2 linked regions of the Oryzias latipes genome follow. The protein of the gene in region 1 purifies or fractionates together with the protein of each later gene. This does not show direct contact. Links are inferred from orthologs where the notes say so. Each region holds a gene or a part of one and is shown on either strand. Other genes may lie near its edges. The genes, in order: G2 and S phase-expressed protein 1 and acad11.

Region 1 (4,401 bases):
ACACTGATCTAGATGACATCACAGTCGAGCATTTAAAATATTCAAGTTTTAAATTACTGCCCCTGCTGGCCATGTGTTTCACTGGCTTTTTAACCCATGGAGTCCTGCCTGATTCAATTCTCTCAGTTGTATTGATTCCCGTCATCAAAGACAAGACTGCCAGTTTAAATAGTCTGTTGAATTACCGACTGATTGCCCTTTCCAGCAACATTTCAAAAATTTTAGAATATGTTTTATTGACTAGACTCGAAGTGCATCTTTTAACAAGTGAGAATCATTTTGGTTTTAAAAAAAGCCTCGGCACTGATATGTGTATCTACGCGTACCAGGAAATAGTTGGGAAATACCTGCATTTGAATACATCTGTATTTTTGTGTTTTATTGATGCCACTAAGGCCTTTGACAGGGTCAACCACCTCAAGCTTTTTCAGAAGCTAATTAATCGAGGAGTGCCCAAATACCTTGTACGATTCCTGGCTTTCTGGTATGCTAATCAAACAATGGTAGTCAAATGGGGCAATGTCTTATCAGATCCTTTTTATGTAAGCAATGGTGTTCAACAGGGGGGGATCCTCTCTCCATTTCTATTTGATGTGTATATTCATGACCTATCCACTAATCTGAATCTGTGCAAAACTTGGTGTGTTGTTGGATGTCAAACCTTTAATCATCTTATGTATGCTGATGACCTTGTCATTTTTAGCCCCTACAGTGCTGGGTTACAAACACTTTTAAAAGTTTGTTCTGACTATGGCAGAGACTTTGATATAAACTACAATCCCTCCAAAAGCAAAGTAATGATTGTAAGGACCAAAGACAACAGAAATGTAAACTTTCCTGTTTTTAAGCTTTGTGGAACGCCTCTGGAACAAACCTCATCTATCAAATACCTTGGACATTTCATTACTGATGATTGGAGGGATGATAGAGACATTCAGAGACAGTACTGTAAACTCTATGCTCAGGCAAACATGCTGATGAGAAAATTCAGTGCATGTTCTCTTCAAGTGAAGTGTTCGCTGTTCAGAGCTTACTGCACTCCTGTGTATACGGCCCCTCTTTGGTGGAACTATGGACGTGGGACATTCCACAAATTCTTAGTGGCCTATAATGATGCTTTTAGGCTTCTGCTACAGGTGCCCCGGTGGTACAGAGCCAGTCAGCTATTTGTGGATGCTCACATCCCCACCTGTGAAGCACTACTGCGTAAGCCTACATATGGCCTTAAGGAAAGCCTGGACAAATCTAAGAACTCAATTATCATGTCTCTGACTGATCCCAAAAGAATCTCATGCCGCTACACTTCTGCCCTGAGGAAACACTGGATACAGCGATTATACTCTTTTTAATTTATATCTTTTTACTTTTTATTATGTATATTTGTATCTTTTTTCTATGGACTACATCTGAGTCTGAAATAAAAGTGTGTTTCTGAAAACCGAAAAAAAAGTACTACAAGCCCCACAATTCAACGTTGTGGGACCACGTGTCCTTTCAGCCAATAGCAGAGCGCATCTCGGTCACGTTACCTACAGGCAGCAAATTTAAATTTTTGTTGAAGTATTTTTGTGTTGCAGCTTGAATGTGGGACAGAACGGGAACATACAAGAAAAAGAACTTCAGAGGTAAGGTGTTTTTTTTTTTTTTACACAGATGATTTAAGTTGTTCCGTACTTGTTGTAACATTGTAGAGTTTAGAACTCAGATTTGTTCGCGGTTATTGAATTCATTTAGAAAACTTGCTAGCTAGTTAGCTTAGCGTAACGTTGAAATGCAACTTTGAGGATACATATCAATATAATAAAACAAAGTCTGGTTTCAGTTACAAATGATACCAAATGTCAAACAGTTATAACGTATAAAACAGCAATGTTTAATAAATGTTTGTGAATATGATTCCCATAAATAAAGGAGATCAAACAACGATGGCCTTTGAAGCCAAGAGCGGTGAGTCAACGCCTACAAAACTGCTGTCAGTTTGTGTGTCCCTATTGCTGTTTTGTTTATTCTTTGCATATCTGTCTCATATGGTTCTAGTTTCGAAAGCAGATGTGCTTTTCCTGCAAGACGAGAAGTTTGATTTCGACGTTTCTCTTTCCCCTGCCAGGTAAGAATCTCGCGAGATCTGCGGCTCTCGGGCGCGGGTGAATGAATGACGTCCGTTTTCTGTCAGTGAACACCTAAACGCTCGAGTCTAAAAAGCAGCTGAGTTCTCATGTTTCTGTTAATTTTCCCACTTTTCTAACGTTTCTTAAGGAACTGCATTCTGGATCAGATCTGCTCTCAACTTCTACTGTAGTTTAGCTCCTAATGCTAAATTCTACCAGTGGATTTAGGGGCAACGTAAAAGCCCTGGAGCTCACATGATTTGAAACATGATTTTTATAATACATTTTTGATCAATCATATGAACCATTTAAACATTTAAATTTGTGGTAATTTTCTTCATATAAATGGGTCTCACACAGATAATATTTCCATTAAACTAAGCATTAATCTGCAGGAGAGACAAACATTCACTGGATTCATTAGTTAGACAGAAGATGATCCATAATATTGATCAGCTTTGGGAAACACAATCTCCTCAGTCTTGCACTTTTTTCTAAAGTTAGTGTCACATCACCAAAAAAAAGTAAAAATATCAAAATTAAGAATTAATGGGTCATGATAAACCCACAAAAAACGTCTTTTATAGAGGACAACATAGAAATGTATGTGTGAAACATTTACAATATTAGATTTTTTCTTTTTTTTAATTCTAAAAATACAGTGATTTATTCAGCCAGGCTCAGAAACTTAAGGTTTTGGCTTTGCCTCTGTGCTTACTCTTGAGTTTTTCTGTCTTTTTATCTCAAATGTTTGTGCTGTGATATTATCATAAACATTGGTTTCATATGAACAAAAACGTCTTTACCTTGTTCAATAGTCCAGATCATTTCAATACAAGGGGTTTGTTTTACAGACTTGAATCATTTCCTGCAGGGCTGTTGAAAGACGGCGTGACGCCTGATGCTCACCGTCTCTTGATCCAAGATGTTCAGAGACGGGTCTCCCTGCTTTTCTTCATTTCCTAAAAAAAAATCCTTCAGTGTTTGTAAAATGTTGTTAAATCATATTTTCCAAAAGGATTTATGTATTACAAAATAGGTAAATGTCCAGAGAAACAAAACGTTTACCTTTTTAAAGTCCCATTCTGATCATATTTTAATAGATTTTCAAAGTGTTGCCAAGTGGTCTTTTAGATAAGATGAAGCTGTTTTTAGCCACAAATTTAAAGGAAAAAAGTGGTTTTCTAGAACATAGTTTCTGCTGAGCGGCAGGAGTTCATTAGAATTTCACCTCGGAGTTGTGGGCGGGACTGTTGGCACAGAGTAAAGCCCACCCCCCTTCCCTTCCCCGTTGCTGAGGGCTTGAAGCAGGGAGTTTGTGGCTTACAGCCTTTAACATCACACGACTTAAAGAACAATTAAAAATGCTAACTGTGCTAACGTGGCTAGCACTTTTAGCACAGATAGGAAAATTAGTGCTAGCATTGTGTTCAGCATCATCAACTCTCAGAAAACGTATCACTAAAGATGCTAACTATGCTAACTGGTGTGTGCAAATGTAGCCTCTTTTAGTTTGTAGTGGGGGTGAAATTTTCCCTCACTCGCGTTAAGAAAGAATTGTGAAAGCAGTATTGTCGTTGCAGTGCAGGACATAACAAAAATAAAAAAGCATAGTTTTGTTGTTAATTTAGGTTTTTATCAAACAGTCAGAAGGGGGGTCAAAGATTTCTTTTTTCTGTACTTTTTAATTTTTTTTTAAGTATTTGAACTATAATAGTTTTCATACGTTCTAACTTTTGCTCGTTCGTATAACTGTTTGGTTCAACCACGATTACTTAAGATTTTCACACTTTGTGTGCCAAGTTTTTTGAATGATGTCACAAAGAAACAAAAAATCCCAATAGCAGCAGTAAAGCTGTGAACCTTTTCTGGGCCTCTCTGTTTTCTGCAGCTCTAAAGATGATGAAGACGAGGTTTTTGAGGGTCCAGTGGAGGGTGAAGAGTCTCGTGTTTCTGTGAGCAAAGCCTCTGAGCTTCTGGAAGGAGATCACGTGTTTTCAAACTGGAGCCCACTCACAGGTGAGCGGCTGGATGCTGTGTGTCAGGAAGCCCACTCCCTGGTTAATCAACTGCAGGATGGAAAAGCGTGCGGCGTGGAGGACGCCAACATCGCTGGAGAACAGTTTCTTCAGGACTCTGAGGCAAAAAAGAAAGTGCTTTGTAGTTCGAGCGGCGCTCTCAGCCCCATCAAGCGGCAGACTTTCTGCGTGCAGGACACGCCCACAAAGCAGCTGCCGCCTGCCATCCAGCTCCAATTGCCCAGAGGAAGCCGGCGCAGCTCGGCCGCTCCCCT
Region 2 (3,819 bases), on another chromosome or scaffold:
GGGTGGAGGAGTTTGCTTCTAGAATCAGACCAAACGTGTCTCACTGAGTTGTATTTTGAATCCCTGAATACTAATTAAGGACGAGCATTTGTTCTAGTCTGTCATCTGGTGTCCATCTGTCCCGTCTGGCCGAAGGGGACGGTTACTCCAGCTGACCAGAAATTCAACAATTACTCACCCTGTCTGGATCTCATGATGAGGAATTTCAAAATATTCTGAATTTGGTGATTTATTTTCTTTTTTTTACATTTCTGTGAGGCAAAAAAACAACAACAATACAAATAAACAATACTTTATGTATACAGTATATTTAATGAATATCAGCTTTAGTCAAAAAATGACTAAAAACATAAAAGAAAGTTAACAAATATTATGATAAAATATATTTTTTAAAGTTGAGGAAATCTCAGCAGCAAAGCAAAAAGGTAAACAATTAAACAACCAGAAACCCCCCCCCCACTAACTTACAAAACAACTATACAACAAAAAACACTACCAAGGCAACAAAACAATTGTTCAAAACAGAAACAATTAAAAAATCCAAATAGACTACATGGATCCTAATGTGTCAACAGTAAAACATCAAAAGCAATAACAATTCTACGATAAAAAAAAAACATTTCATTTTTTGATCATTCCTATTTTAATCTACTTTTCTCAGTTTCTTGACTCATACTTCAGGACATTTATGTTGCCCTCTAGTGGCCATTCTCCATCACTTTCTAATATAAAGACAAAGGTCTTATTTTTGTTTTTAAGAAACACAATCTGGTTTAAATCCGAAGCTAAAATCAGAAAAACATGCATGTGAGGAAATGTAAATCCTCATGTGGCGTCTTCTGCTCTCATGGCCGTAAACTGTCTCTAGCCGTCTCCGGGTTCAGCACTTTCCAGGCAGGAAGTCCCCAACGTTTCCCAGCAAATTTGAGTCACGAAACGGTCAAGGACAGAGGGAACAACTGTGGGTCCCATTGTTCGTTTGGCCAAAGCAGAGGGGACGATGATGAATACAAATGAGCCACAAGACAGATTTTATTTCACAGCATTTCCTTATAATTATAATAATAAAATAGCTTAATCAGTCATTGAAAATGGTTAAACTGATTGATCTCTAATTATATCACTTCACCTGTCCCAAAAGGCATGATTTGTTATGTCTATTTGTCCTGATATAGTGTTATTTTTAATCATAATCAGATTAAAATAATTTGAATATATTTTAGATAACTGTTCTGTATGTGGTATGTTAATATACAAAATAGTTATGTCCATTTTACATAATTATTAAGTGATTCATCGTTGTCCTGTGATTTATTGATACTGAACCTTAATGACCTGAAACTGTGTTGGTAAGGCATGGATATCTGATAAAATAACATTATTACATGATAAATCATGTAATAAAATGGTTACGGTAGAACAGGAGTGGTAGTACAACATTTGATTTAATCTCTAATCATCCTAAATTGATAAGTCTTTGTATGAATGTATAACTACTGATTGGATTGTTTTGTGCATTATTCTTGCGTTGATTGCTTGAAATAAACCATTTCAAATAAAATAAAAAGAGATAAATTTAAAAATCGCTGCTTTGTGCCCCACAGGTGCCGGCAACCCCCTCTGCAAAGTGGCCATTGTGATGTGCAGGAGTGGATCTGAGGATGTTCTCAGCAGGTCAGACGCTCACTTCCTCTGCTCAGGGTTGTTTTTCTGAGCTCCTCTTCCGCAGTAAAGACTGATTATTGAATTTGTTGCCTCAGTATTGAAACATCTTGCAAACATGTGCTCCTGCACTTCATGGCTTCCCTGACTTTAACCAGGAGTGCTGACTATTTGAGCCTTTGAGTTTGTTTTACTCACTAAATCGATTTGTGACCATGAAGCGGGTCTAATAGAAAAAGTCTAAACCAGAGCCCCACCCAAGCTAATGTCATTCCCTTTCCCCCTTGTTTTGCAAACACACCCAGTGTTGCAAAGACAGCATGACTCACGCGAGCTCTCACATGTGAAAGCATCAAACTTTGTCGTCACCAGCTAAAGCCTCTAAAATAAACCATTTTTTTCACTGTCTTGTATTTTAGGCACAGTCAGCACAGTATGATCCTGGTACCTATGGACACACCTGGTGTAAAGCTCATCCGACCAATCACAGTGTTCGGACAGGACGGTAGGATTCTGCTGTTCATCTAGAAAAAATACTTTTTTTTTATTAATAACAAAGTAAATGGAAGCTGTTCTGTGTCTAGACGCCATCCATGGCGGACACTTCGAGGTGCTCTTTGAAGATGTCCGTGTCCCTTCATCCAACATCATTCTGGGTACAAGTTCGGCTTTTTTTCTAAATAAAAATGTAAAATCCCCTTTGTCTTGGTGGAGAAACATAGCTGATCGCTCCTGCGGTTGTTGCTCCTCTGGTGTGGTTCTCAGGGGAGGGCAGAGGGTTTGAGATCGCTCAGGGGCGCCTGGGGCCAGGGAGGCTGCACCACTGCATGAGAGCGGTTGGCTTAGCCGAGTTGGCCCTGGAGTTGTTGTGTCAGAGGGCAGCTTCTAGAAGCACGTTTGGAAAGAAGCTGTACCAGCATGTGAGTTGAAGCCTTTTTTATTTACATTTCAGAGATGTGCTGGAAGTCTTTGTTTGTTGACATCCTCTGGGTGGATATTGGGTTACTCCTTATCTTCTGCTTGGTTTCTGCTCAGGAAGTTGTTGCCCACTGGATAGCAGAGTGCCGTCTTCTGGTAGAACAAACTCGTCTGTTGACGCTTTGTGCTGCTAAAGCTCTAGATACTCTTGGAAGCCGGGCTGCTCGCAAGCAGGTAAAGCTGTTTTTTTCTGTTTCGTGTAATGCAAAAGTCCATTAAAAACTAACAGAACTCTTCACAGATCGCCATGATCAAAGTGGCGGCAGCTAGAATGGCCTGCAAGGTGGTGGACTGTGCCATCCAGGTGCACGGAGGCGCAGGGGTGTCTGGGGATTTTCCTCTAGCACAAATGTACGTTCTTTTTATTTTCAAACCTCAGCAAGATGATTTTTGTTTGAAGTTTGACATTTTGCTTTCAGGTACTCGTATGCACGGACTCTGCGCATCGCAGATGGACCCGATGAGGTGCACCTCTCCACCATCGCATACCTGGAACTGAAGGATCAGCTGAAGAAAGCGCAGGCTAAGCTATAAATGACAGCAGAACTCACTTTTCCCTGGTTGAAATTAGAAATGACAAGTTTCAAAGTGGCAGAAACTTCCCTAAATGGATGGGAAAAGAAGTTTGTTGAAATGAGTTTCTCTGGCAGTATTAGATTGGAGGTGGCCTTTTTTTTTTACATTTATGCATTCTAATTCTGTAAAAATACATCTTACACAATTGTAAATAATACTTTCTGAAAGTTTATTGATTTCAAGGCACTTTTTACGTTTACGACTGGATGCAGGTAGGATTATTTTGGCTAAACTTGACCCCAAACTTTCCTTCTTTGTAAAATAACTATTAATAAAGTGGATGAATAAAATTAAAACTAAACTGATTTCATTTTCTGCTATAATTGAAACCAATGACACGTGTTTATTAGGAATTATTTTTAATGTGAACTACAAAAACAAACTGACCACATGAATGTAAGACTCATCTTCACACTCCTTTGATGTGTGGTCTACATTTGGATGAATTCCATTTGAAGGTGATAGGAACTATGGACACAAACACATTAGCTTTCTTTTTTTTCTTTTTTTTACAATATAAAACAGCAGTGGCCCCATCTCTCTAATACACAAGATGGAAACCCATGCAACACCATCCATTCACCACAAACAGATCTTCAGCTG

The links.
Region 2: the proteins of G2 and S phase-expressed protein 1 (region 1) and acad11 purify together in Homo sapiens (co-immunoprecipitation; 3 studies listed by BioGRID and IntAct, counting the BioPlex papers as one, with this or other methods). This does not show direct contact. The link is inferred for Oryzias latipes from reciprocal best matches to the Homo sapiens genes GTSE1 and ACAD11.

The regions. Positions count from the first base shown.
Region 1 is NC_019864.2:3,483,991-3,488,391, reverse strand, and holds the start of G2 and S phase-expressed protein 1, read left to right. Parts: upstream 1-1,521; 5' UTR 1,522-1,582; coding exon 1,583-1,625; intron 1,626-1,911; coding exon 1,912-1,947; intron 1,948-2,037; coding exon 2,038-2,107; intron 2,108-3,999; coding exon 4,000-4,401. UniProt on the Homo sapiens protein: May be involved in p53-induced cell cycle arrest in G2/M phase by interfering with microtubule rearrangements that are required to enter mitosis. Overexpression delays G2/M phase progression.
Region 2 is NC_019878.2:19,067,347-19,071,165, reverse strand, and holds the end of acad11 (acyl-CoA dehydrogenase family member 11), read left to right. Parts: intron 1-1,604; coding exon 1,605-1,674; intron 1,675-2,081; coding exon 2,082-2,167; intron 2,168-2,246; coding exon 2,247-2,318; intron 2,319-2,427; coding exon 2,428-2,582; intron 2,583-2,697; coding exon 2,698-2,814; intron 2,815-2,881; coding exon 2,882-2,991; intron 2,992-3,059; coding exon 3,060-3,174; 3' UTR 3,175-3,512; downstream 3,513-3,819. UniProt on the Homo sapiens protein: Acyl-CoA dehydrogenase, that exhibits maximal activity towards saturated C22-CoA.